Elephas maximus indicus: one gene and its partner. The protein of the gene in region 1 interacts with the protein of each later gene in a biochemical or structural test. Links are inferred from orthologs where the notes say so. Each region holds a gene or a part of one and is shown on either strand. Other genes may lie near its edges. The genes, in order: DNMT1 and SETD7.

Region 1 (3,908 bases):
CTCAGGGTCAGTGGAAAAGAGGAAGCCCCTTGATGAGATGGTTTGACACAGTGGCTGCAACAATGGGCTCACGCATAACAATTGTGAGGATGGCGCAGGACCGGGCAGTGCTTCGTTCTATCATACGTAGATTCACTATGAGTCGGAGCTGACGCGACGGCACCTAACAAGGGCCTAGTACAATGAAGTACGTAAACCTGTTGCCCTCAAGTGAATTCTGACTCATAGCAATGCTAGAGGAAAGAGTGGAACTGCCCCCATGCGGTTTCCAAGGAGTGGCTGGTGGATTTGAACTGCCGACCTTTTAGTCAGCAGTCGAGCTCTTAACTACTGTGCCACATAAGTGCTGACTAAATACTAAATGAATAGCCATTAATTGCAGCCTTACTAATATTTTCAGTCCTCCTGAGTCTTGGTGGCATAGTGGTTAAGAGCTACTGCTGCTAACCAAAATGTTGGCGGTTCTGATCCACCAGGCGCTCCTTGGAAACTCTACGGGACAATTCTACTCTGTACTATAGGGTCGCTGAGTCGGAATCAACAGCAACGCGTTTTGGTTTTTTTGAGCCTGCTATGCGTGAGTGACCCATAGCAACCAGAGGGCCTGAGATCTACTTCTATCCAGGGGGACCGCTCGCACCCCCAGCTGTTCGGGTGTGTGTGTATATAAATGCATTCGCTTTTTAACTACAAAAATGTAAAAACATACCGCAATTTTTAACTCCGTCCTAGTGCTATTTAAATACACAGGCTGTGGAAGTGTCCTGGGCCTCCCTGCCCCGCCGCAGTCTTTGGTGCTAGCTACACATCCTGTGTATCCTCAAGATTTTCTGGAGTAGGTGCTATTAATCCCGTTTTACAGATGAGAAAACTGAGGCTGAGTCCAAGTGGCTCACCCAAGGTCGTACGGTAAGCAAATAGGCGGAAGTGGGGTCGGAACTGAGGACTTTAACTTAAGAGCCTACACGTTCGTAACCTTCTGCAGGTGGTGGCTCCTTTATCCTTAACCTGCCGAAAAGAATGAATGAATGAATGTCTCCGGCTGGGCGCCCCCTCCTCTGGAAACGGCGGAGGTTGGGCGAGCTCACTGTTCCACGCGGGGGTGCGCACCGTACTCGCGCATGCGCGGCCCTGAGCACGGCCCGCTCCACTCTGTCTGCACGCACTTGTTACGGCGTCTCTCCGCTTGGTACGTCCCGCCTTCCCCCGCGTCCGGGTCTGGGTGGTATGCGCCGCCTCCGTTCACCGCCCCTCCCCGTCAGTTTCCGCGCGAAAAGCCGGGGCCGCCCGCGCCGCTGCCGCCGCTTCAACTGCATTCTCCGAGATGCCTGCCCGCACCGCCCCGGCCCGGGTGCCCACGCTGGCATCCCCGGCCATCTCACTGCCCGACGATGTCCGCAGGCGGTAAGTGACGCGGGAGACCGCGCACCTGGGGGGAGGCACAGCACTAGGGGGGGTTGCTTCCCCTCGGGGCGGCCCGGGTCCGCCGCTGACAGGCGGGCGCGCATGCGCGGGGTGGCGCGGCAGCGGTTGGCGCGGGCAGGGTGGCACTTCCGGTCGCGCGCGCCCCTGGCCATTTGGCGCCAAAATGGGCTGAGGCCCCTTACAATTCCCTGGTGACTAGAAACTCGGCTTCTTTTCAGACGCCCAAGTAGAGCAAGCTTTGGGTTCACCTCGAGGGTCCCCTTCCCTAAGCTGCCGTGGGCCAGGCTCCTGCTGCCAGCCTGGTCGGGCAGGAAGTGGGTAGCCCGCAGCCTCTGGACACCCCTGGGCCCCGCACTCCGGCCTCTATTTCCGGTGCCCGGCCAGCTCGGGGGTCTGGCCCGCCGGCCCCCTTGGGGCACTTCACGTTCCCCTCGGCCCCTACAACCGCCGTACGCTGCGGATCCCGATGGCGGCCTCCAGACACGGACGTCGCCGGTCAGGGGCCGGGCGCAGTCGGCTCGGGTTTTCGAGCCTCGTTTTCCTTGCGGGGCTCTCGCCCCATCTCAGATTGCCGGTTCTCGCCCGTCTGGGGAGGTCGTATTCTGGAAGAACTCTTACCCTGCTGCTTAGGGCCAGGACTGGGGCAGCGTGAAGGCTGAATGCGTTCTGGTCTTTCCTAGGAAATCTGCCGCTGTGAATCTGTGCCTTGAGGCATGGGCACCGAGGAAGCCTTGCTAGTGAGAACTGGCTGCGGTTTCCAGCGTGGGGAAGTGAGGGGGCCGGCTAATGTCTGGGCCCCCGCTGGAGCACTTAACGCCTAAGTAGGGACCTCTGCAGGCAGGGCTTGGCGGGAAGACTGTTTGACCCAGGCCTTTGGTCCTGATGGGCGTTAAATTCACTCTTTGAAAACTTGTTTCAAGTGAGGTGTGTGTGTAGACAGCAGGAACCCTGACCAGGTCTGAACACTTCCAGCCAGATTTGTGAACCTGGTTTTGCCATTTCCCTGCCCTTGTTTTCTCTGTCTAACCAACCTCTATGGTTGTGCCAGGTCAGTTTTGATTTGGGCTCTTGGGGGTGGGGTGGGGTACTCGGGTTTCTGTACCAGGAGTTTATGGTTCAAACCACTTCTTAACAGGGGATGTGTCTTGTGGGAGGAAACCATAGGTCTCCCTCTCCCCCAAGATACCTTAGTATTTAAAATGGAAGTGGAATTACGAAAGTACCAGGCTTCATGACATTAGGCCCCAACAAGAGAAGTTTGGGCCCAGCCTTATTTACCTTGATGGTGAGAACTCCTCCTCCACTGACTTGTTTATGGCCTTAGGCAAGTGTGTACTGCCTGTCTGCATCTGTGGACTAGGATTAATAACACGGGTTATAAACTAGCAGTGGGTTAAATGAGAATATGTCTGCCGTGTAAAGGCTCAAATGTTAGCATTGTTATCAGCTAATTTAGCTTGGTTTTCTCACTCCTGCTAATCAGCTACTAATTATATAATGTGCTTTACATTATCTCAGTTAATCCTCGAGTCTTTAAGAGTAGCTGCTGGGTAGTTCACTGCTAGGAAGCAGGGATTCCTGCCTAGGCCTGCTTTTTGCCAAAGCCCTTCTCTTTGACTAGGGGCTGGTTGTGAATGGGCTTAGGTGCTCTATTTGGCCCACACAAAGTGTTTTGTATGGCTGAATTCAAATACCTTTAGGTGAGCCCTGGTGGTGCAGTGGTTAAGTGCTCAGCTGTTAATCAAAAGGCCTGTGGTTCGATCTCGCCAGCCGCTCCATAGGAGAAAGATGCGGGAGTCTGCTTCCACAAAGATTACAGCCTTGGTAACCCTATGGGGCAGTTCTACTCTGTTTTTTAGGCTTGCATAGAGTTAGAATCGACTCTATGGCACCAGGTTTGGTTTTTTGGTTTAGATGAATCTTACAATCCACCATTCACCCCGGGTTCCATATTACTTTGAGCTAGAATTGCCCACCGAGGTATGAAGTTTCGAACGCCTGCTTTAGGCCGTGTGGTGGTAATTGAAATGTCAGTTTATGCGACCCTCTCAACAACTTTTTTTTTTTAATTTACATTTGGAAATACTTTACGGTACAAAAAAATACACGCATAAACATGACATTGAAACTTAGATTTGTAAATAGCAGTATAACTTCTTGATTTAGTGAAGTTAGTAGAGAAGCATAATCTATAAGAGGTACATAAGTTGAGTAGAATATTCCAGGAGCTAAATTAGGCCTGGTCCTCATTAGGCTGCTCTTGCAGTTTCTGTCCCTTCTGCGAACTTGTGTTTATATGGCAGCTTCCTTTTTAAACTCAGATATGACTCCATTAGATGTACGATGATACTAGAAAGAATTTTCACGTTTGGATTTTTAAGTCTTTGAGTTCTTTTTGGAGTATAATATACTCCTTGCCTTTCAGGGCGAGCCATATCTTTCCACTGAGTTTTTCTTATTCTGTCTAGGCCATCATTATTTGC
Region 2 (3,908 bases), on another chromosome or scaffold:
ACACACGCGCTCCAGACGGAGGAGGGTCTTTCCTCCGTAGCTCCTTTAACCATTACCACATTGCAACTAGGAACTTCCAGGGCCTTCGGCGCGCCTTGTTTCCTGCCTGATAAGGAGCCCGCTGTCATTTGGGTTTGGTTAATCTCTGAATCACCCGACGCGCTCGGCGGTCCAGAGGAGGGTGTGAACGAAGCGCGCTGGGGTGGGACCCACAGTCCGGCGGAATCGGAGTCACATGACACCCCGTCGAGTCCGGGAAACCGGCTTGCGGAGGTTATGCGGGGCTGCGGCGACATCCTCGCTCCCGTGCGTGCTGCACTCGTGCGGCTCCGGGTGGCAAACTGGGTGAAGTGGGGACTAGAGGAAGTAGAGGAGCAAGAGCGTCAGAAACGCTTCTTCTGCTCTTCGGACGCTGACCCGACGAGGGACGACTGGCACTGCACGACGGACTTCCAAGTTGCCCTTAGCACACCTGGAGGTCAAGAGTGCAAAGCCCCCACAGGCGGCTTCCGTGGTCTGAAGTGTCCGCAAGAAGCCCGAGACGCCCAGGACCGCATGGCGCGCTCAGAGCTCGCCAAGTCGCGCATAAGCAAAAGATAAACGCTGATGGGCCCGGGGGCTTGTTGGCTGGGACGCAGAGTTTGCGCGGACCCGGAGCGTCTTTCGTTTTAAGGAATCTTACTTCTGGGAAGGGACAGGGAACTGTCAATCAGCGAGGGAGGGAGCGCACCGGCGCCGGGTGATGTCAGCGGATCAGCTGCTCGATAACAAAGAGGGGGTATTACAGGAGAAAGTTGCAGCAGCGGCGGCGACCGCAGCGTCACCCGGGAGCCTCGGAGGCGAGGGGCAAGTGGGCGAAGGAAGGACGGCTGCTGCCGCAGCAGTTGAAGGCCAAGGAATTAGAAGGGCTGTAGGGGGAGGCAGTGCGAGCCAGCCCCGACTGCTCCTCCTCTTCCTCCTCCTCCTCCAAACTCGCAGGGCTGAGCCCCAGCGCTCGCTCAGCCGCCGGGAGCACCAGGAGGGACGGGAGGCAGCAGCGCGGCCCACAGCCGGGCAGGGTCCCCAGCCGCCATGGATAGCGACGATGAGATGGTGGAGGAGGCGGTGGAAGGTACAAGCATTTCTTCGGGGCCAGGAAAGGAGGCGCGGAGGGCTCGGAGCGCGGGAGGAGTGGCCGGCAGCGGCCGGCGCGGCACCGGGCCCCGCGGCCGCCACAGTCCGCTACGCGGGTGGCCGGCTGCCCGGCTCCGGTGGGGGCCGGGTAGCCACGGCTACGCCACTGGGGGCACGCAATGCGCGGCAAGGCGCAGGCCGGGAACCGGGCTCCGCCGGGCCGGAGCCCCTGGGGGGATACGGCTGATCCATCCCGCCCAGCCGCAGCCTGCATCCGCCCTCGGAGTTGCGAATCCTGCCCGGCACCCCGGCCTCCCTCTTTTCGGGGATGGAGGAGCGGTGCGCAAGAAGGCAGACCCTAGGAGCGGTCTCCGTGAGTAATCCCCCTACCCCATTTTGGCCACCCCGAGCTCCTCTCCGTCGCCAGCCCTTTCCTTCCGCTCGGTGCTGCGCCCCGCGGCGCCCGAGGCCGGGCCTGGGTCAGTCCCCTGGCGCAGCGCACGGGGCCGGACCTGGCACGTGGCAGCCGTGGCCCGACGAGAAGATGAAATCATTGCGGGCCAGGGACCACAGTCCCGACTCGGGGCTTGAACGCGTACAGTCCGGCAGGCGGGTGACCCTTCCCTCTCCTGCCCTCGAGCGAACTCAGCCACACCGCCCCCTCCCCCTGCCTGCTTCCCAGTCCCGGTGCCGCCGCCGCCGCCGCCGCCACGCTGTGCAGGCGCGCCGCAAGCCGGGACTGAAATTGCTGGGTGATACTTAACTTTCTGAATTCCACGCAGTTGGCTGTGGGTGATATCACCGCTTTGGTGTCGTGTTTCTCCGCCCCTTCTCTTCTAGCGCCCCTCCCCCGACTTTTGTTGCCACTTTGTTTTGCTGAGTTTCTCCACCTCTCGCTAGTTCTAAAAAAACGAGGTGGGGACGTTATACAATCTCCTTGTTTGTACCCTGAAGTGTTATGATTTTGTACAGTGAATATTGGAAAATACTCTTTAGCGTATTTATTTATTTGGTTTTACCCCCAGACGGTACGTCGTGATGTTTTGCAATGTTGTGTGGTATTATTCCAGAACATTTTAAACCAGGCATCTAAGTAAATAAATTTTTAGGCGTTGGTTGAATCTTGTTTCTATCTAATTGGTGTAAACAAGTTTTTCACAAACAGTAAAGAAAAAGTGGTGACATCGTACCAATGTATTAGGGCACATAGTTGTTTCTTCTTTGAGGCACGAAATACATTTTTATATTTTTATAAAACAGAATTGATTCCTTTTGAAGTACACCAGAGGTTTTAAGATGACATAAAGTAGAATAGTATTTCTGAATTCTCTAAAAGGTATCCATTTTAATGTAACTTGTAAAATTTCTTATTTCTTCATCCAGCATCAAAGCCAGCATGTAATTTTTTTTTTAAGTTAAGAAAATTTGCATAATGATTTGAACTCACAGAGCTATGTATCAATCTAATAAGTAAAGCTCATGTGGGGGCATACTGGGGTCCAAAGACATTCAGTTGATCCATAGGAAGCCTTCTTAGAATTTAAAAGTTACTGACTTCTTGTGCTTCCTTGTTACAAAAAAAAAAAAAAAAGAAGAAGGATGAAAATGCTGTTCTCAGATTGATGGGTTTTGCTCTCATTATTCAAAGGTTAGGTTTACTTGTAAAAATTTAAAGTAAACCCTTGGTAACAGCAGTGCTCTCCAGACTGAAGCACCTTCCCCTTTGAAGACCTGTGTCCCCTGGTCCTTAGGCTCATTTGCAGAATGTAAACAAGTGGCTTTAGAAATGTATGGGTGTTGTTTTTGAGATTGTCTGGTGGATTAGAATCAGGGCAAGTTCTTACTAGTTTTCTAGGGTGACCATATGCATTATTGTCCAAATCAGAACACTTCTGAGATGAGAGGGGGAACTATTAATAAACCTTGAATGTCTGGGCCAATCCAGGACACATGGTGACTCAATTGTACCTAACTGTAAACAGAGGAACTCAGAACCTTTCCAAGTCCTTAGGCGAGTCTCAGGCTCAAACTGGAGCAGTGTCTAGGCACGGACAGTAAACTGCACCCCCGGGCTTTTCTCCATTCATTCTTAGTGCTGTCTATAATGCCCTTGACTTCATCACCCAACACATGCATGAGACAATGTGGTAAACTTTCCCAAAGAGAAGCTAGTCTGAATATTTTGGTTTTTTAAGTTCTATCTCCTCTACCTTACCCTCCGTAAACAGAGCCTCTGTTCTCAATAGTTTCATTGTCATAGCTATTGTTATAATTTACTTGTAAATTATAACTGTTTTCATGATGTGCAGGCTCGGTGCTAAGTGTTTCATATCTATTTTCCATTCAGTCTTATGAGGTGGGTGCTCATATGATCCTGATTTTACAGAGGAGGGAACTGAGGCAAGAGAAGTTAACTAATCCAAGGTCACGTAGCTAGGTGGGGAGACAGATACGGAGCCTTCAGAACCCCACTCTACTACCATCTCATACTGTCTCCCCACATTTTTTCTTTCTAATGGGCCTGTCAAGTATATAAAATAGTTGTTTACAAACTGAATTTGGAAGCGACAGTTAAATGTTATGCAGTTATTATTCTTTATCAGTATAACTCATTAAAGGTTGAATCTGGTAGAATTCAGGGAGAAAGGTGTGTATAGACCCTAGCTTTACTGTAGAAAACTAATTCTCTCTGGTTGTTATTTACTCGCAATCTGCTAATTTTTTCAACTGTTTTCTCAGCACGTTTCCTTTGGGTTATTAAGCATCATTCCTTAAATTAGCTAAAATAGTTAAGA

Evidence for each region.
Region 2: of the proteins of DNMT1 (region 1) and SETD7, one has a biochemical effect on the other in vitro, tested with the Homo sapiens proteins (2 studies listed by BioGRID and IntAct, with this or other methods). The link is inferred for Elephas maximus indicus from reciprocal best matches to the Homo sapiens genes DNMT1 and SETD7.

Annotation. Positions count from the first base shown.
Region 1 is NC_064821.1:28,326,394-28,330,301, reverse strand, and holds the start of DNMT1 (DNA (cytosine-5)-methyltransferase 1), read left to right. Parts: upstream 1-1,170; 5' UTR 1,171-1,324; coding exon 1,325-1,404; intron 1,405-1,432; exon of another isoform or gene 1,433-1,891; coding exon of another isoform or gene 1,892-1,920; intron 1,921-3,908. UniProt on the Homo sapiens protein: Methylates CpG residues. Preferentially methylates hemimethylated DNA. Associates with DNA replication sites in S phase maintaining the methylation pattern in the newly synthesized strand, that is essential for epigenetic inheritance.
Region 2 is NC_064823.1:3,707,939-3,711,846, forward strand, and holds the start of SETD7 (histone-lysine N-methyltransferase SETD7), read left to right. Parts: upstream 1-806; 5' UTR 807-1,071; coding exon 1,072-1,486; intron 1,487-3,908. UniProt on the Homo sapiens protein: Histone methyltransferase that specifically monomethylates 'Lys-4' of histone H3. H3 'Lys-4' methylation represents a specific tag for epigenetic transcriptional activation.